Ovis aries: one gene and its partner. The protein of the gene in region 2 purifies or fractionates together with the protein of the main gene of each other region. This does not show direct contact. Links are inferred from orthologs where the notes say so. Each region holds a gene or a part of one and is shown on either strand. Other genes may lie near its edges.

Region 1 (10,515 bases), on a different chromosome or scaffold from region 2:
GCACCTGTACTTCAAGAGGAAGATAAGCATGTTTGTGGGGTGGGTGTGCCCGCATGCAGTCGCCCAGCCAGAAGGGGCAAGGTCAGGGTGTAGCTGAGCCCAGTGGGGTGGGTTCTGCCGCGTTCTAACCACGTGCCCTGGGATGTGTGACTCTACATCTGTGAGTCTCGGGGGGTTTCAATTTAATTTATTTTTGGCTGTCTTGGGTCTTCATCTCAGAGCAGGCTTTCTCTAGTTGCAGTGAGCGGGGGCTACTCTCTAGTTACAGTGCCGGGCTTCTCATTGCAGTGGCTTCTTTTGTTGAAGAGCATGGGCTCTAGGGTATGTGGGCTCAGTAGTTTTGTTGCTCCGTGGCATGTGGGATCTTCCTGGATTGGGATCGAACTCACGTCTCCTGAGTTGGCAGGTGGATTACCACTGAGCTACCAAGGAAGCCCCAAGCCTCAGTTTTCTCACCTACCAAATGGGAGTGGTTCCTCCTTGGCAGGGTTATTGCGAAGACCCAATGCAGAATGTGGGTAAAAGGCTCAGCCCAGTTTGGCGGTTCCTCAAAAACTGAAACGTGGAATGACAAGACGCAGCAGCCCCACTGCTACTATATACTCGAGCAAAATCAAAACGGGTACTCAGAAGTACTTGAACAGAAACATTCATTGCAAGCATTATTTGTACTAGCTAAAACGTGGAAACCATCTCATCAAGTGTCCATCAATGAATGGAAAAACGGATAAATGAAATATGGTCCATCCATACAATGAAATATTGTTCAGCCATAAAAAGGAATGAAGTACTAATACAGGCGTCCCTTGAGGCTCAGCTGGTAAAGCACCACCTACAATGCAGGAGACTTGGGTTCAATCCCTGGGTTGGGAAGATCCCCTGGAGAAGGGAAAGGCTACCCACTCCAGTATTCTGGCCTGGAGAATTCCATGGAGTGTATAGTCCATGGGGTTGCAAAGAGTCGGTCACAACTGAGCGACTTTCACTTTCACTGACACAGGCTACAACCTGGATGAACCTAGAAAATGTTATGCCCAGTGAAAGAAACCAAACACAAAAGGCCATATATTGTATGACTTCATTGCTATGAACTGTCCAGAAGAGGTAAATCCATGGAGTCAGGAAGCGGATCACTGGCTGCCAGGGGCTGAGGGGAGGTGGGGTGGGGGATGGGGAGTGAGTGCCTAACGGGTGGTGGGGGAGGAGGGGTTCTTTTGGAATGATGGGAATGTTCTGGAACTAGACAGAAGTGGTGGTTGCACAACATTAAGTGCCACTGAATTGTTCACTTAAAAATGGCAACGTTCATGTAATGTGAATTTCACCTCAATTCAAACAAAACATTCGGTATAGCCCCTTCATACAGAATAAGCTCTCAAAGCTATGAAAGGTGCTAAAAAAATCAGAAGTTCAGCAGGTAAAGAGGCAGAGATGACACATCCTAGGTGTGGGCAAGGGTTCAAAGAGAGGGTGCAGTGAATTCTGAGACTGCCGTTCACTCGTGGCTTGTGCAGTGGAGAGGAGAAAGCTGCAGGGTTGGCAGGGGCTGGGCCCAGGAGTCTGAAGGGTGATGGGTGACACTTGCAGGATTCTTACAAGGTTTAGGCTTAGGATTTTTTTTTAGTTAAAAATATTTATTTATGTTTGGCTGCATCAGGTCTTAGTTGTGGCATGTAAGCTCACTAGCTGTAAGCTTAGTACCTGCAATGCGTGGGCTTAGTTGCCCTGCGGCATGTGGGATCTTGGCTCCCCGACCAGGGATTGAACTCACATCCCCTGCATTAGGAAGAAGGCAATGGCAACCCACTCCAGTACTCTTGCCTGGAAAACCCCATGGACAGAGCAGCCTGGCGGGCTGCAGACCATGGGGTCGCAAAGAGTTGGACAGGACTGAGCGACTTCACTTTCACTTTTCACTTTCCTGCACTGGAGAAGGAAATGGCAACCCACTGTAGTGTTCTTGCCTGAAGAATCCCAGGGACGGCGAAGCCTGGTGGGCTGCCATTTCTGGGGTCGCACAGAGTCGGACACGACTGAAGCGACTTAGCAGCAGGAGCAGTCCCTGCATTAGATGGTATATTCTTAACCACTGGATCACCAGGGAAGTCCTCAGTCTTAGGTATACAGAAGACCACTCTATAATGTGAAGGACAGCTTGGAGGGGGCAGGAGAAGGGTGATGGGGAAGCTGCTCCTGAGAGGGGGTGGTGGTCCATGGGATCCTGTCTGGCTGTCACTTATGGGTGGGCACCACACACAGAAGAGAAAGCCTTTAGGGGCAGGTCTATCATGAACTGTCTTGGCCATGGGAAGCAGAGGGGTCTGTGGGGCCCTTGATGGACAATGTCAAACAGGGAGCTGGCTGTGAGCTGGAGACAGGGAAGGAAGGACCCGGAGCAAGGAAGGTACTGAAATCCCTGGAGAGTGGGCAGGAGCCCCAGGGACAGGGTGGACACAGGATCTCTGGAGGCTGCCAGCCTTGAGGGGAAGGCAGAGAAAGAGAATGAAAGCGGGGGGTAAGAAGCTAGCAACAGTCACAGGAGCTTTCTAGGAGCAGTGCTGTCAGCCACTGTGTAGACAGACGTAGCAAGATGCATGAGAAAAGTATGTGCTGCGTTTGGCAGTGTGAGATGGCCAGTGACCTTGTGAAACTCTCACTGGAGAGCTGGGAGTAAAACATGACAGCTGACAGCGAGTCAAGCTGCTAGTGAGAAGTGAGGCTGGATTTCTGAAAGGGTGCCGTCTGGAAGGATGGTGTGGAAATGCTGAGGGAGGGACTTCCCTGGCAGTCCAGGGGTTCAGGCTTGGTGCTTCCACTGCAGTGGACACAGGTTCAATCCCTGGTCGGGGAACTAAGATCCCGCATGCCACATGGTGCACAGACAAAAAATTAAAGAAAGACAAGAAAAAGAAACGCTGACAGGAAGGAAAGAGGGAAGATTCAGGGAGGAAGGTTGCCGGGACCAGGGCCTGGGTGGATAGGCAGGGGACATGGCCTTGGTCAAGGGGCCAGAGGAAGGAAAAGGGGTGCAGCTCAATTTAGAAGCCTGGTGGGAAGATGCCCTGGGAGAGGCTGTCGCAAGATTCTTTTTATTTTTTTTCTGAGGCCACGTGTGTAGAATGTGGGAAGGCTGGATGGAAGAGAAGCCGCGAGGGACCCCAGTAATGGACGGGTCACTGGGATTAGTGAAGGGACCTGAGGGTCCGATGGGTCTGCACAGGCCTGACAGGGCCCAGACTAGGGGTTGCCTGATGTAGCAAATAAAACTACAGGACACCTAACCACACTTGAATTTCACGCAAGCAACGTAGAACTTTTTAGTATAAGTATATCCCGTGCAATATTTAGGCTGTACTCAACAAAACACGTTGCTTACCTGAAATCAAATGCAACTGGATGTCCTGTAAATTACCTGGGAATCCTAGTGGGCACCAGACGGATGGGGGGGGGGGGAGGAGGATGGTACCATCCAGCCTAGGGAACCGCTCTCGGGAGGGTGGGGTCCCCGAGAGGGGAAAAGGCTGGGGTCGCTGCTTTCGTCCCGGGGCCTGTACCGCTTCTTGCCAGGAGACAGGAGCCTTCTACCCCAGGGCTTCAGTCTCGTCCCCGCCACCCCCTTCCCTCGCGCCCCTTGGTGTCGCCCTACTAGCCCATCGATAACTCGATGCTCTGCCTTTATCGACCTGCTCCGGCTCCGCTAGCCGTCCTGGGCCGCGGCGGAGCGGGGAGCCGCCTGAAAGGTACGGGGGGCGCGGGACGAGGGCTGGAAGGCGACATCCAGGGGCCGGGAGAGCGCGCCCGGGGGGCGCTGGCTCCGCGGGACAGAGTCAGGGCGGTCGGCGGAGCGCAGGGAAGCTCGAGGGTCCAGCCAGGGAGCTCCGCCACGCCGCCCCACAGGGCCCGCCGCAGGCCCACTACGCACGCGCGGTCGCCGCGCTCAGGCTTTGCTCGCGGGCCAGTGCGCAGTCCTGCGCACGCGCGGCCCGCCCCTGCGGTACCGCGGCGCCCGCGGCGCGACTGCCCCCTGCAGGCCGCTGGTGGGAGGGCGTTCCGGCGGCGGCTCTCGGGGCGGGGGACGGAGGCAGCGGCTCGGAGCGCGGAGCTGTCCCTTGCCGGTTGCCCTGAACCTCTCCGCGCCTCGGTTTTCTCCGTGTCTAAAATGGGGATGATTTCATTATTCCCCAGCACCGAGTAATCTGCTGTAACGTACTTAGGACGTAGGGTATTCTCTAAACACTGCACTCCCTATCTCTGCTCTAGATGCTCTGATCTCTGGCCCCTGCGGGTCAGACCTAGTGCCCTGTGTCGCTCGGAGCCCTTCGGCAGCCACACCATGAATACGTCTCCAGGCACAGTGGGCAGTGACCCCGTCATCTTGGCCACTGCAGGCTATGACCACACGGTGCGGTTCTGGCAGGCCCACAGCGGGATCTGTACGCGAACTGTGCAGCACCAGGACTCCGTATCCTCCGCTGGGGCGATGGGGCGGGTGGTGCCGGACAGGATGCCCGGTGGGAAGGACGCGGCCCTGAACCCGCCGGGGTGGAGGCCTTGGAGGCCCCTGTTGGTCACCCTCCTTAACAGACCCAGCAGGTGAACGCGCTGGAGATCACACCCGACCGCACCATGATTGCAGCTGCAGGTACCCTGCCCTCCACCCCAACCCCTGGTTTCTCCTAGGTCCGTCGGCACAGCCTCACTTGTTTGGTCTCTGCTCCTAGGTTACCAGCACATTCGCATGTATGACCTCAACTCCAATAACCCCAACCCCATCATCAGTTACGATGGGGTCAACAAGAACGTCGCGTCGGTGGGCTTCCACGAGGATGGGCGCTGGATGTACACGGGCGGGGAGGACTGCACCGCCCGCATCTGGGACCTCAGGTGTGGGCACGGGGGGTGGGTGGGTGGGGAGCAGCTTGCTGCCCAGGTGGGTAGGGTGAGGGCCAGCCCAGGAGACTGTCTATGCAGGTGACTTCTTGAAGGCAGGTGAGGAAAGCAGGTAGGGCAGGGAGGCAGACCCACAAAGACCCCCTCCCCCCCACCCCGAGCAGATCCCTAGCCTGATCCCACAGAGGGGTCTGGAATGAGCTGTACCAAAGAGCAAAGGAAAGGGTCTCTCGGGGAGGAGGGGGGCACCGACGGCCACGCACCACGGACGGGGTGTGTCCCCCCATCTCGAAGGTCCCGGAACCTGCAGTGTCAGCGAATCTTCCAGGTGAATGCGCCGATTAACTGTGTGTGCCTGCACCCCAACCAGGTGAGGGGGCCGCCTGAGGCTGGGCATCCTGGGGCTCTGGAGGGCAGGGGTGCTGCCCGGCCTCACCTCCCTGACACCTCCTCAGGCGGAGCTCATCGTGGGTGACCAAAGTGGCGCCATCCACATCTGGGACTTGAAAACCGACCACAATGAGCAGCTGATCCCGGAGCCAGAGGTCTCCATCACGTCCGCCCACATCGACCCAGACGCCAGCTACATGGCTGCTGTCAATAGCACTGTGAGCCCCGGGGAGAGGGTGCAGCTCGGTGCCCTGTTCTTTAGAACCCTGTTCCTGCAGGTGGGCTCATGCCCCATGTGTCCCTGTGGCCTCTCCCCTCTCCTCCCGAGTCCTGCTTCCCCAGCCGGGGCTCCAGCTCTGACCTAGCCCCTAGAGCCAGAACCCTGGGGGTCATGCCCAGTGCAGCCTCTCGCCGCCGGCCATGGCCCATGCGGCAGACGGGGCCTCTCCACCTCCATTCTTTCCAGTTGTCCACTTCCCTCTCTCCTCTTGGTTCCAGTTTCCCTCCTCTCTCCTGACAGTGGCTGGAGCCTCTCTGACTTCCTTCCCCTGTGACATCTCCCTGTCCTTCAGCAGGAGCAGCCTGACCACCTCCTTCTCCTAGGTTAACACTGAGATGCCCCGGGCTCCTTACCAGGGCCTCAGGACCCTGCCATCTGACCCCTGGGCTCCTATCCAGCCTCCTTTTCTCCCTTTAATGTCCATTTGATCTCAGCGAATCAGTTATCCCTCGACATCTCCAAACTGTCCACTCCCAAGCCTTTGCCCTGAAGTTCCCTGTGTCTGGCTGCCCTCATCCTGTCTTGTTCTGCACATTCCTGTTGGCCAGGCGCATCCTTCAGGAAGGCCAGGCGCATCCTTCAGGAAGGCCAGGCATGACCTCCTGCCCTCAGCCCATCAGGCGTGGCCCTTGCTCAGGGCCGGGTCTCCCAGGTGCTCCTTGTCACATATCCCCGGCCCCCAGGTCCTTGTGCGTAGCCGCAGTGCTGGGTGGCAGCCCCTGGATCTAGGCCTTGCTGCTGGGTATCCTCCCCGACCCATCAGACTGGAGGCCCCGGCCTCCTGTGACTTCCCTCCTCCCTGGCAGGGGAACTGCTATGTCTGGAACTTGACCGGAGGCATTGGCGATGAGGTGACACAGCTCATCCCCAAGACCAAGATCCCGGCGCACACCCGCTATGCCCTGCAGTGCCGCTTCAGCCCCGACTCCACGTGTGTGCAGGGCTGGGGGGCAGGAGGTGGTGTGCCTGGGGCTGGGGGCCTGATGCTTTGGGGTCTGCTTGGAGGACAGCACAGGAGTGCGGGATGGGAGCGGCTGCTGATGGCACCCCTGCCGTGCTCACCCCCGCCCCCAGGCTCCTCGCCACCTGCTCCGCTGACCAGACATGCAAGATCTGGAGGACGTCCAACTTCTCCCTGATGACGGAGCTGAGCATCAAGAGCAGCAACCCCGGAGAATCATCTCGGGGCTGGATGTGGGGTTGCGCTTTCTCGGGGGACTCGCAGTACATCGTCACCGGTGGGCCCCGCCGCCCTGCCCCCCGCCCCACTGGCCCGGCCCGGGGCTGCTCCCCGAACCCCATCCGTGCTCTCCCTCCCTCCCTGCAGCTTCCTCTGACAACCTGGCCCGGCTCTGGTGCGTGGAGACAGGCGAGATCAAGAGAGAGTACGGCGGCCACCAGAAAGCCGTCGTGTGCTTGGCCTTCAATGACAGCGTGCTGGGCTAGCCTTGTTCCTGGGCACTGCAGGCAGCCGTCCAGGCGGCACCAGCCGGGTGTGTCTGTCCAACTGCCCAGGTCAACGTGACACCCATGGGCTGGCTGCTTCATCCGAGGCTTGCTGGACTGGACTGAGTGACCCTGGCCCCCCTGGCCAGGCCAGTCCACTCCGGGACTTTCTCAGCCCTGGCTGCTTATGTGGATGCAGCAGGGCTCATTCCTTCAGAAACTCTTGACCCACGGGACCTAGAGCCACCAAGGGCGTCTGAGGCTGGCGCTTACCCCCAGCTGGGGCCTCCTCAGCCGCCCGCCCCCCCGCCCCCAACGCCAGCCCTGTTTTGCGTCCCCAAGGCCACAGAGAATACCGTCACGGCCAGGTGGAGTGGTTTATTATCCCTGCCACCCTCTGTGGACTGGTGACAGGGTCGGCCAGGTGACCGGCCTGTGGGACCAGGCTGGGGGCTCAGTCCGGGAGGTAATAAAAGCAGACGGACACACAGATGTTGCTCGGGAAGCAGATGTCGATACATAGGTAGATCAGCCGCTGCCTCTGGGGCCCTGGAGGAGGGGTCTCTGTGAACCCCAAAGGACCCTTTGCGCTCCGTCCCCAGACTGTCCTAAGGGAGCCCAGGCCCCTCCGCACAGCCTGCCCCAACTTACCCTCTGCACGTCGGGCCCAGTAAATGGGAGTCTTGGCACAAAGGTGCTGCACGGGAGCCCCGACCTGGGCAGGGTCCACCTCTTGGCTCCCAAGCACTGCCAGCAGCTCTTGGGCGTAGTGGGTGTCCTGGCTGGGGCTTTGCGTCGCCTGGAGCTGCAGAGAAGGATGCTTGCGCTGCTTCTGGCGGGGTGGGGCCCATGCACCCCAGGACATGCTGGTGGCATGCCAGCCCTGCCCCGGCTCTTGTCAGCACCCTCGTCCACAGGAAGACAGAGCTTCTGTTCCCCTGAAACTGGAGCCCCAGCCCGCCCTGGGCCCAGGCTGCACACAGGACCCTTTGTCCGGCCCCTGGCTGGAGGCTCCTCACCTGAGAGGTGTTCACCAGCAGCTGCAGAGTCTCACGGTCTCGGGGTTCCATCAGGCGCAGGAAGCAGGCCTGGTGCTCCGAGGGCCGGTAACAGACGCAGCCCTGGGCAGGCAGGCAGGTGAGGCAGGGCCACCTGAACCCCCCCCCGCCCCCACACCCCGCCCTGCCAGTCCACTCACGCTCTGCCCGTCGAATAGCACTGCCCAGCTGCGGTTGCTCTGGGCTGGAGTCACCCAGATGGTTGCCACGTTCTGAGCCACATCTACCTGCTCAGTTTGGTTGGACCGGGGCATGCCTGGGCTCGGGAGGCTCAGGCGGAGAGTCTGCAGAGGGGCCTGAGTGGGAGGCGGGAGGTCGCTGGCCAGGCTGGGGCTGCCTCAACACACCCCCAGCCCAGCTACAGGGCTCTGACCCACCACTCCTCTGGGTTTCTGATGTCTGCTCCCTGCCCTGGCCCCACTGGAGGGCTGGTCTCCTCCTCCTCCCGACTGTCTGAGCCTCTGCCTGGGTCCTGAGAAGGGCCTCACCTGAGGAGGGCTGTGGCTGAAACCAAGGAGCCCTCCAACCACAGCAGCGGCGGTGACCAGCGCCAGCAGCAGCAGCAGCAGCAGGCCAGGAGCTCTCCAGCGCCCGTGGCAGGGCTTGGTCTCCACCTGGAGGCACATCGGAGTCAGTAGGGCCCAGAGTGGAGGCCAGGCAGTGGGCTCCTTCAGGGGCGATAGAGGCTGAGGAAGTTCAGGAGACAGATGCTCTTCCTGCCCTGCCAGGCAGCCCTGGGCCTCTGTCCCCAAGAGGGTGTGAGTGGGGGAAGCGCTCACCCTCGCAGGTGTGGGGTGCTGGGCCCAGTGGCTCCCCTGCCCCATGCTGTGCAGCCAGGGGACAATGCGAGATTGTCTGCTGCTCCCGAGTCGGCTGGGAAACCTCAGGACACCTCCGATGAGCCAGTCCTTCTGGCCCCCTCCCCGTCTGACCCCCCTGCTTCCTCCCCAGCCCAGCCACCTGATATCCCAGTCAGAGACGCCTGGAGGGGCTGCTCATCGCTGCCTGGCTCTCCTGATGCCTGGTCTGTGCAGACCAGAGCGCACATGGGCCTGGCAGCTCAAGAGCCGTTGTGGAAGTGGAGACCCAGTGGCTGGCGCAGAGGGCAGCCCAGGTTGCCCAGGACTTTTTAATACAAAGTCTGGCCGGGGGCTGATTTCATTTTCCTGTAGATGCCTGTTCCCAGTCTCTCAGGTTACCTCTACACTCTGGGCACGGGGCCTGGCATACAGCGGGCCATCAGCAAGTGGCTGTTTCATAGGACTCTGCCACTTCCCTTTCCTCCCAGGCACCCCAGCTGCTTCCCAGTCCCCACCAATGCAAGGCAGCCCGCAGGTGCCTGCCCAAGACCAGGGCAGCTTCTAGGAGGTTCCACTGCTGGAGGGGCAGCCTCCTGGATTGCCTGCATACTGCAGGATGGTGAGGCCAGCCTCGTGCCCACAGACCCCTGCCTGGCCCAGCATGGCTGTCCCTAACTGACCGGTGCCATGCGTTTCCAGCCGCTTTGGGCTATGGATCCCAAAACCCAGTAGCTCCCAGCACTGGCAGGTTTCAGGCAGTGGGTGTCCTTCACCAGCTTCACCCCATGATCGCTTCCTTCTCTGGTTATTTTTTGTGCCTTGTTTTTCCTCATTCTTCAGAACCCGTCTCTCTGTAGTGGGCCTCAAACAGGGCGGAGTTTCTGTGCTCAGAGTCCCAAATTGAACTGGAGTCCCAGAATGGCCTTGTCCTGAGGGTACCCCCTCCCGCTCCCTGGCCATCCGGCTGTGGCGAGACAGCTGCACCCTCCACGCAGAGGCTGCTGTCCAGGCGAGAGCAAGGAACACCAGAGTCAACTGCAGTCGAGAGTTTAATACACCTTTGGGTTCACACAGTGCAACAGGGGTGGGGGGATAGGATGCACAGGCTCCTGGGCCGCTGCCCAGGCAAGAGAGAGGTGTCGCCGGCTGCCGCACGCTCCTGGTGTGGGTGACAACGCCCTGACAGGCCTGCTCAACATCCAGACCCACCTTGAGCCGACCTTGCAGAGCCAACGTCAGCACCACCAAGCTCACAGGCGCCGCTGCCCTCACGTCGCCCCCGGCAGAGTCTGAACCCCAGACGCTGAGGCCTGGGAGGAGCCAAGGCTCAGGACACGCTTTATTGCTCTGAGAACTCTTAAGAGGGTGGGTGAAGGAGCAAGGTGATCTTGAGGCTAGGAGAGAACCATGGGCTCTGAGCAGAAGCTGCTGGGTGTGTGGCGAGGCACCAGGAAGTAGTCGGCCAAAAGGAACAGCTTCCCAGGCACTCCCCTACAAGTGCAGCCAGCGGCCCATCCTCAAAGGTCAGCAACTCAGGGAGCAGGCAGAAAATGCCACGGCACTCTGCCAAGAACCCTTGGCTAGTCAGTGGACCCAGCCAGTTCTCCCACTGGCAAATGACAAGGTACCTCAGGGTCAAAACACATGGCTT
Region 2 (10,179 bases):
CCCGCGCCACCAGCCCCCTCATCTTCCCCACATGCTTTTGTTTCAGACTCCCTGGTCTCTGAGCAGGAGTCTTCCAGTGGAGTGGAGGCGTTGTGATACAGTTTTGGTTGTTTCTTTTTACCTGGGCTTTGTTTCTCAGATTTTGCTTCCTCTGTTGGAGCCCTGAAACAATGTCCCTGCAGGCCAGCCTATTAATCAAGCCTCAGTTTCCTCATCAATCACATTGAGGTAACAATCCCTGCTACTGAGTCTTAAAAGACATAATCTGTTGGAAGTTCTTTGTGAGTGATTCATTTTTTCACCAGTACTTTCTAAAAATATTTTTATTTTTTTATTTATTCATTTATTTTGGCTGTTTTGGGCCTTTGTTGCTGCTTGGGCTTTTCTCTAGTTATGGCGAGCAGGGGCTACTCTCTAGTTGCAGTGGGTGGGTGTCTCACTGCAGTGGCATCTCTCGTGTCAGAGCAGGGGGTCTACGGCACATGGGCCCAGTAGCTGCCACTTGGGTGCTCCAGAGCCCAGGCTCCATAGTTGTGGCACTCGGGCTTGTGGCTCCACGGCATGTGGGATCTTTCCAGATCAGGAATCAAACCCACATCTCCTGCGTTGGCAGGCAGATTCCTCATCACTGAGCCACCAGGGAAGCCCCTCATCAGTACCTTTGCACTGAAACGCTACTGTGTGCCAAGCACCATCCTTCATGACAGCAGAGACAAGGTCTTTGCTTTACGATAAAAAGCTAACTTCTGGGCGTGGAGTATGAAGAAAAGTATCAGAGACATAAAGAGAGAACATGAGCCACTGGGGAGCTGCTTGAGATGGGGTGATCAGGGAAGGTCTTTGAGAAAGTGACCTAGACGCTGGCTATAAACCACAAGAAGGAGCCAAGTGTGCAAAGGTGAGATGGAAGAGCATTCCAGGCCTTTCCATTCAAGAAGCAGAAAAGGCAGGCGTGGCCAGATTATGAAGCTTTGTGAACCAGGGTGACTTCTCTGTTCCACTCCAAGTACTAGGAAGCCAGGGAGAGGCCTAGTAAGGAAGTGACGGGATCTGACGTACACTTTCACAAGATCCCTCTGGCCACTATATGAAGAACAAGTTGTCGAACCTCCCTGGTGGTCCAGTGTTAAGGATCCACCTGCCAATGCAGGGGACATCGGTTCCATTCCTGGTCCAGAAGATTCCACATGCTGCATCGCCATACTGAAGCCTGAATGCCCTAGAGCCCGTGTGCCCCAACAAGAGAAGACATCAAAATGAGAAGCCTGTGCACCGCAACAAAGAGTAGCCCCTGCTCATCACAACCAGTCCTGCACACAGCAAAGAAGATCCAGCACAACCAAAAATAAATGAAAGAACAAATTTTTTAAGAGTAAACTGTAGGGCAAGAGAAGACACAAGGAGACCAGTCAGGACATGATTCTAGCTGTCCAGATGAAACATGGTAATTGCTTGGACTGGGCTCACAGCAGTGGAGACAAAATGAGGTAGTCCAATACAGAATACACTCTGCAGGCAAAGCTGACAGGTCCTACTGATGAAACGGATTGTACAAAGAGGAGAGGAAGAGGAAATAATTACAAATAAATTCCAGATGTAGAGCTTGAAACAACTGAGTGGGTGGTGATGGCAGCATGTTGTGATGGAGAAAACCCAGGCAAAGCAGGCAGCCAGGCATCTGAGACAGGAGTCAAGGCATGTAGACGGCACATAGAACCATGAGACTAGATGAGGTCAGCTAGCAAGGGGCATACAGAATAAAGAGACCTCCAAGATCAAGTTCCCAGGTACTGCACACTCTGCTGTCACCCAGCAAAGGAATCTGAGGAGGACCAATCAGTGACCTCAGAGGAAAACCTGGAGTTCCAGGAAGACATAGATGCAAGTGAAGGAAAAGCTTTATGAAGGAGGGAGTGGTCCACCCTGGAATGCTGCCAAGAAGTTGAAAAGATACAGAGAAGTGACATTTAGGTTTAGCAACAAATAATCACCGTGTAGAAGGACAGTCTGAGTGGCATGAAGGGAATCTAAATGGAAGAGATTGAGAGGATTCAAAGTGAAGAAACAGGGAGTAAGAAAGAGTTGTAAAGTATTACTACATAGCCCTGCTCCAAAGACAACCGAAATATCTGACTGTCCACATAACAGTTTAATGTAATCTACTCAGCCTCCTCCATGGTTTATTCAAGTTTGGCTACAAAGCAAGGTGACTAAGTCTAAAGACTGGTTTGGGAAATGGTTTCATCATTTTATAGCTATATCTTGCCCACTTGCAGGTACAGTGTGTCTGCTGATGGTTTTCTTTCGGAGCAGTAGCTCTCATGTTCCCGGACTCCATCCCACACACACAAAGTAAAGATTCATCTGAGACCAAATATATCCACATGCCCACTTTCTAGAAAATGAACTCTTGTGATAACGATGAAGTATCACAGTAAAACCCAAATGGGGAAGTTTTACACAAATCTGTTTTAGCCATAGGTCTATGAATGATTCATTTTTGAACTATAATTCATATGTCTAATTATTTGAAAATCACAAATCAAAAATGCCATCAATGTATATACACATTTACTACACACTGAAGTAACCAAAAAACCAACTTGATAATCTGATAATAACAGTATTGAACTAACAGTAACTTAGTAATTAAAATGCAACAATAGTGGCATCTGAAAACCAGAAATGATTTAACACCAAGATAGCAGGAATTCCAAACAAGAGTGCACTGTAATTTTGTGAGGATGTCAAATGCCGAGCGGCAGAAAACTTGGAGTTGTTACTCAACTTTGGTAAAGTTGTCAATTTTAGGAACACTTAACAACTGCACTAAATAGAACACCAGCAAGAAATTGCTAATACATATACAGTAAAAGTATGTGGACTTGCCTGTGGATCACAGGAAAAAGCAATGACTGAGTCTGCATTTAGGGCAACCGGTGGTGCACCAGAAGTGGCCTACATTGGTCCGCATGCAGGACAGCTGGACCCACACCTGCTGCTTTATGACAGTGCTGCACCATCAGACTGCTGGAGGCCACCCCAGCACAGGGAGGCAGTCTGGCCTGGATGCCCATGTGCTCAACAGTCCTAGAATCTTGAAATCACATACAGGTACCCCTTGGCCAGAGCCAGCCCCACAGATACACTGCTTCATGGTTTATAACATTTGAAGTCATTCCAATAATTTAAAATTGGAAAACTTCACATTACAAAAAAAAGTTTTCTGGCTCGTCAAAGAAAAGAAAGACAAAGGGAGACCTGGCCAGGCTCAGCTGCCCCTTGAGCTGCACCCTGTGCTCTTCAGAGCCCCACTGATCCCACCCTCCAGAGCGTCAGAAACGAGTCAAACCTCAGCTGCCACTGATCTCTGAATCTGCGCCATTATTCTCCTTCTACCCGGCTTTTTTAGACTACCTTTCAATTCTCAGCATCATTTGGATTGGCACCCTTCATCCTGTAGAGTGTACTGAAAAAGCGCCCTCAGGGTCTAACCGGAAAAAGAGACTATAAGGATGGCCAGATGCCAAGTTCTCAGAAACAACTAAAAATGTTAGCTGCTGATATTTTTTCTTTATTAAACAACTTGCAAAGGCTGGATACTTTCTCAGCTAGCTCTAAGTCACAATCTCGGTAACTACTCAAGACTCCCAAAACTTTTCTTACTCTTAATAACCTATGAGGAGCTTATCAGGGAATGTTGATCATTCACAAATTGTTTTAAATAAAAGGTCAAAAATAAATCCATTAATCAGTTTTGAACAGTTTAAGCATGGTTTAAACATGTTTAACAGTTTAAGAAAAAGAAAGCCCTTTTCAAAAGAAAAAAAAAGCCCTAATTAGAATGAAAAAAGATTACAGTTACTTTTTAGAATAAATCTTTTCATATATGGACAGCAACCACAAAAGCTTTAAACCACATAATTAGTACTAAAACTGAATAAGACAGACTTTATACAATCTTTTCCAATGACCATCTCTGTTACTCCCTAAACTACTTTTGGATGAAACAGATTTTCCTGACCTTTTGGGCATGCTTAGTAGCTCAGTCCTGTATGACTCTTTGTAATCTCATGGGCTGTAGCCCACCAGACTCCTCTGTCCACGGGATTTTCCAGGCAAGAATAATGGAGTGCCATTTCCTTCTCCAAACCTTTTGAAGGTACGCCAAATAACAACTGAAGCACTAGTTCCTAGTGACTGAATAACTAAAATTACCGTAAGGGAAATCGTATATATGTTCAACATCATATACTGAAAACAACCATCTTATATAAACATATCCATCAGCCCAGAGCAAGCACAGTACATGATAATATCAACTACCCTTCTTAGGCTAAAAAGTTCAAATAAATAAATACAGTCTTGAAGCAGAAAACAAAACACAAAAAGACAAATTATAAATATGTATGGGTGACATAGTCCCACCCTTTTGCTCTGGAGGCCAGGAAATAGATGGTAGTTAAACAAAATTGACTTTCTTTCCTACTAGCAGCCTGGGTCACTATCCACATTCCAACACCATAAGGAACCACTACTAGACCCAAGTTCCAACCCCTCATACTCTACTATTAGAGAAATTCTGCCTCCAAGTAATAGTAACAGGACATGACATAAAAGGAGCAAAGCCTAGATTCAAGACAAATTGCTTAGAAGGCTTTGGTAAAGTTCATTGTAACTTTAAAATAACTTTGCATTAATCTGTTACTAGCTGAACATTTGCCAGTAATCTTGTTTTCTAGCATACTATACTAGACTTCTGCATTCCACCTAGCTTGGATCAAAAAAAAAAAGTAATCTAGTCACTAAAAGTAGACCTACCATGTGGGGACAAATACCACATCCCAAGTTGTCTTTCCTCTAAGTGTTAACAGTACTAAGTATATCCAAAAAAGCATGCAAATACTTGCAACGCTGTATTTTCTAACTTGTGTAACTTTCATTGTCTGAATTAGAACTCCCTTTGAATCTAATTAACACTATCCAGTGAATAACTACTAACCAAAACAGCCTTTTCCCTTTACAACCAAAACTGGAGTCTGAAATGATTTGTACTTTTTAGTTGACCTGCAACATGTGTCTGGGAAAGAATATCGCCGCTCTACCAAGGACATACTTCTGGCTCTGAACTTTCTTGAAAAAACTACTCAAGTCCAAGGGGCGCCGGCGCTATCCACTTACCCGATCCTTCATCCTCCAGCTCTGAGCTAAGGATTTGGAGCCTTCGATTTTCTCACAGTGCCTCTTTTTCATAAAAGCCAAAGGCAGGTTCCAGTCTGTAAGGTCAGCTTCATCTTCCTCCCCGAGTCCCAAGAGAGGCGACTGCAGCATCTCGGACTCCATGAGCGGGGGAGGGGGTGGGGGAGTCCTGGGCAGCAAACGCTCGAGAACCTCCAGCCTTGAAAACTAGTGTGTACCAGAATGGGTGAAATAAGAAACAGAAAAGGGGGAGGTAGAAAAAGAAATGGGTGGAGAGGGTGGAGAGACCCTCACTCAGGCAAAAAGTCTGAGATTCTTCTAACTCTGCGCGGGAAGTCGGAGGGGGTGGGAAATGAGGGAACCAAGAGGCTCCGCACAGACACACACGCCCCCAGTTCCCAAGCCACCGGCTGCTTCTGAGGCCGTCAGTTCCCAGAGGGGCTGCGAGCGGAGCTGTCAAAGGCGTGCGAGACTCCAGGCCTCACGATGACCCTGCTCTCGGCCTCCAACGTCTCAGCCGATCAGAGGACAGGCAGGCCGCCCGCTCTTGATGCCGGTTCGCCGACTGGGCTGAGGTCTTCGGCCGAGGGGATGAGGTTCAGAGCGCCTTGGGTCTCCTGCAGCCACTCTCAGCCCTGCGGGTCGCGCACTTGCAGGAGCTGCTGCAACCAGAGCCAGGACCGGCCCATCGTGCTCGCCCGCAGCCGGCTCCTCAGCACTGGGTCCGCGCGGCCTGGCCGGTCCTGGCCTCCAGCCCTATGGCTCTCGCCCGTCTGAGAACGAGTCTTGAGAGACAGGCTACACAGAGCCGCGGAAAAGACGGGTAATGTGGGCTTATTGGGTTTGGGGAGTTTTGTCCTCTGGTTTCAAGCTACAGTGAAACTCCGCTCATCAGCACATCAAGGAGGACGCCATATTGCCAAGACCCAGCATGCAGCGCGATCTACGGCGTGGGTAACAGGCCAAACTTCCTCAGAGCGTTCTGCCTTGCCGCGCTTCCCAAGAGGCAGCGAGAGAAGTCTCCGCCCCCTTGTTACCATCGTTACCACAATTCAGCTTGCTAGTTTATAGCTTTTCGTTCAACAGATGCGTCACATCAAAGTCTGTCCTATAAATGAAACTGTGTCATTTAATTAATTTTGAAAAAATCTTTATTATTACAAGTAGACCTACATCCTTCTGAAATTAAAGGAATCGACCCCTTGTTTTTTCCAGATTTTGGAAAAGCAAAAGCTTCCGAAAGAATCATTGATAATATTACAAAGGAATATAGTATCGTACGCGAGGTTGGGAGGAGACGTACTATCCTCCACAGTATCAATCAGACTCTTATTTTTAAGGAACACAGCGAAAAAATTAATTTTGACAATTGTAATTTTTGTTTAATCCATTTATTTTCTGAGCGGTTTATTCTTATTTGAATGTAGCTTTACTTACAAACAGCTAAAAGCTATTACAAACAGCTAAAAGCTATAGATCTCTATGCGTGGATCGCCTCCTGCACTACTTTATTGCTCTATTCCGTAAACATTGCGTGTTTACAGTGTGTGAGAATGTGTCCCATGCAGAGGGAATATAAACCCCAAGGGGCATGCAGTGCCTGTCTTCAATAAACATAGTGCCTAGTGAGACACACATGTAACCATTAGATAAAGTAGTGGAGGGTGGGGGGTGCAGGAAGATCGGCAGGGAGGCTGGTCTTCCCCTCTGCATTTAGGCTTTGAGGTAAGGCCCACGTGTATCTGCATCTCAACTGTATCACTTTCCATGCCTGTGACAACATTGATCCATTCCTTAACTAGTTCAGCCTCACTTCCTTCAACTATAATCTGGGTTTATATAATACCCACCTTGAAGGGTAAAATTAACCTGTGTAGGAGTCTGGTATACAGTGAGTGTCCAGTACAATGCCAGCAATGATGGGTATATACCAGAGGGAAATCCAGCAGCCCTGCGTGCTTTGTTAATCTAAAAGAGTCAGGCTGGACTCTCAAAGAGACCCTCTTTCTCAGTATGGTTTCCTAGGGCTTTGACACGATGTCAAAATCCATATCAAAATCCTGAGGGCGGGTATTTCCCTGGGGGTCCAGTGGTTAAGATTTTGTCTTCCAATGGAGGGGGTGCAAGTTCAATCCATGCTTCGGGAGCTAAGAGCCACATGCCAAATGGCCAAAATACCAGAACATAAACAACAGAAACAGTATTGTAACAAATTCAATAAACACTTTTAAAACAGTCCACAAATAATAATTTATTAAAGATAATAAAATAATAATAGATAATAAAAGATAATAAAAAATAATAATTTTTTAAAGATAACTGATTTAACCAAAATCCAAACAGCATTTGTGTTCCTTTCAACATCTGAGTAAATAGTGCAATCCAAAATCATTCTCACCTAGCACATAGCAGGCATTTAATTAAAATTCTTGGATTAAAACATTACCATTCTAAACATTTGTTCAGTTATTACATCCTCATGAGCCCCATTCTCCCATGAAAACTCAAGACAAATTCACCAGAACACAGATGGAGGTTAATATCTTCCTTTTTCCTTGCTATCAGTGTTGGCAAAATGTCCCCCACTGTCATCAGCAGAGGCTTCAGGACTGCAGGGTCCTGAGAAGATCCCACTCTCACCTGAGGGCAGTGTAACTCCAGCTCTGCCTGTCACCCTGCAGCATACAACAGTGAAGGCCAAGGTCCCCAGGCACTCTTTCAGAAAGCCTCAGCTACAGGAGAGTGGCAGCATTAACCCCATTCATTCCCAACTAGCCCTGTGACATGGGCATCAGTGAAAGTCACTCAGTCATGTCCGACTCTGCAACCCCATGGACTACAGTCCATGGAATTCTCCAGGCCAGAATACTAGAGTGGGTAGCCATTTTCTTCTCCAGGGGATCTTCCCAACCCAGGCATTGAACCCAGGTCTCCTGCATTGCGGGCTGACTCTTTACAAGCTGAGCCACAAGGGAAGCCCAAGAATACTGTAAGCCTATCCCTTCTCCAGTGGATCTTCCAGACTCAGGACTCGATTGGGGTTTCCTGCATTGCAGGTGGATTCTTTACCAACTGAGCTATCAGGGAAGCCTGTGACATGGGAAAGCTGCTTAATCTGTGTGGGAATCAGCTTCCTGACCTATGAAGTATGTCACCTGGGGAAATCCACTCAGCTTGTCTGACATTCTCAGTGAAGGTAGTAATGGAGCCCGTGGAACCCAAACATGGCAGGTTGTCAGAATTACCTGGGTAATGATTTTAAAATTAATTTTCCTGAGTCCCAGCTCAGATGTACTGAATCTTGGGGAGAGGGAGGACAGAGATTCAGAATCTCTATTTTTTAATCAGATAACCCTGACAATAATTTAAAATCAGTCAGATGTGGGGACACTGGGTAATATTCTCGCTAAGGAAATCAAGCAATAGTCTCCTCCAGTGATTCCATTCCAGCCCAGTGGTGGACCTTCAATAACTGTTTGTACTGAATTGGGGTGGGTTGCCATGCCCTCCCCCAGGGATCTTCCGCAGGATCCCCTGTTTCTTACGTCTCCTGCATTGGCAGGCGGGTTATTTACCACTAGTGCCACCTGCTGCTGCTAAGTCACTTCAGTCGTGTCCGACTCTGTGTGACCCCATAGACGGCAGCCCACGAGGCTCCCCCATCCCTGGGATTCTCCAGGCAAGAACACCGGAGTGGGTTGCCATTTCCTTCTCCAATGCATGAAAGTGAAAAGTGAAAGGGCAGTCGTTCAGTCATGTCCAACTCTTAGCGACCTCATGGACTACAGCCTACCAGGCTCCTCTGTCCATGGGATTTGCCAGGCAAGAGTACTGGAGTGGGGTGCCATCACCTTCTCCAAGTGGGAAGCCCCAAATAAATGAAACAATTATCCAATCTTTCATCTAACACATCAGAACAAGACTCATCCTCTCCCCCGAACTACATAACAAAACACCCTCTAGTGTTTCACAAATGTGACCCCAGAACCTAGAGACATTTGAGGTCCATGTACTGGACTGATGATTTGATACACACATTCTGTCCCCAGCCCACCACCAATTCCTACAGAATTTCCAGTCTCTGCCCTCCTCTGTCCACAGTCTTCACATCTGAGACAAGAAAACTTTTATTTTGGGGTCTCACAGCTTGCAGGATTTTAGTTCCTCCAGGAGGGATCGAACCCACGCCCCTTGCTTTGGAAACACAGAGTCTTAATCACTGGACCACCAGTGAAGTCCCAGGCAAGAGAAACTTAAAGGTGAACCTCCAAGGACACTTCAGCATCAAAATTCCGTTATTCATGTAAAAACCAGAGAGGGGCTGGTGAAAGCCCAACTCCCAACCTGAAGGTTCAGGAAGGGGCTTGAATCATTTCACAGCATCATGACATTTAAAAGAAACCTCTTCCCAGTGTTGTCATGAGAGACTCTATTCGAGTCCCAGATAAGCATTTGGAAGCTTGACTCCAGGTTTCTGGAAGGCAGGGAACGTCGATGACTAATGACAGGCTGGAAATTCAAGGGCTAACGTTTCTCACCTGGGTGATCTCATTACCGCGGCGTGTGATCCGCGGCCACTTGGGCCTGCAGTTCGGGTTCCCAATGTCTCCAGTTCCTCACAAACAAGGACATCTCCTGCTTGCCACAAAGCCTCTAAATAAGATACTTTAATCATGAAAACAAGTTCTACAAATCTCAAAAAATGTGTGAAACCTGATTTGATTCAAGCTGTGGAAGGGGAGAGGGTGTTGATGATATCCCGCTGGGAGTGAACATCAAGCTGCAATGTGGAACTGGGAGAGAAAGGGCTTTTAGGGCCAGTTCTGATGTGAAACGTAGCAGCTAAACCACCACCACTGATGTGAGACAATCAATAACCTTTGACCTTCAGGTACAGAAAGGGGAGTGCTATGTGCCGAGTTGCTTCAGTCATGTCCGACTCTTGGCGACCCTATAGACTGTAGCCCACCAGACTCACCC

What was found. Proteins that work in one complex are often made in the same cells at the same time.
Region 1: the proteins of RPTOR (region 2) and MLST8 purify together in Homo sapiens (affinity purification with western blotting; 15 studies listed by BioGRID and IntAct, with this or other methods). This does not show direct contact. The link is inferred for Ovis aries from reciprocal best matches to the Homo sapiens genes RPTOR and MLST8.

What each region holds. Positions count from the first base shown.
Region 1 is NC_056077.1:2,251,992-2,262,506, forward strand, and holds MLST8 (target of rapamycin complex subunit LST8), read left to right. Parts: upstream 1-3,699; 5' UTR 3,700-3,740; intron 3,741-4,260; 5' UTR 4,261-4,333; coding exon 4,334-4,462; intron 4,463-4,590; coding exon 4,591-4,642; intron 4,643-4,721; coding exon 4,722-4,884; intron 4,885-5,184; coding exon 5,185-5,260; intron 5,261-5,345; coding exon 5,346-5,498; intron 5,499-6,366; coding exon 6,367-6,491; intron 6,492-6,634; coding exon 6,635-6,798; intron 6,799-6,887; coding exon 6,888-7,006; 3' UTR 7,007-7,460; downstream 7,461-10,515. Other genes in the region: BRICD5 (BRICHOS domain-containing protein 5), read right to left, coding at 7,461-7,811, 8,026-8,127, 8,205-8,360, 8,553-8,888.
Region 2 is NC_056064.1:51,492,844-51,503,022, forward strand, and holds the start of RPTOR (regulatory-associated protein of mTOR), read right to left. Parts: upstream 6,121-10,179; 5' UTR 5,344-6,120; coding exon 5,182-5,343; intron 1-5,181. UniProt on the Homo sapiens protein: Component of the mechanistic target of rapamycin complex 1 (mTORC1), an evolutionarily conserved central nutrient sensor that stimulates anabolic reactions and macromolecule biosynthesis to promote cellular biomass generation and growth.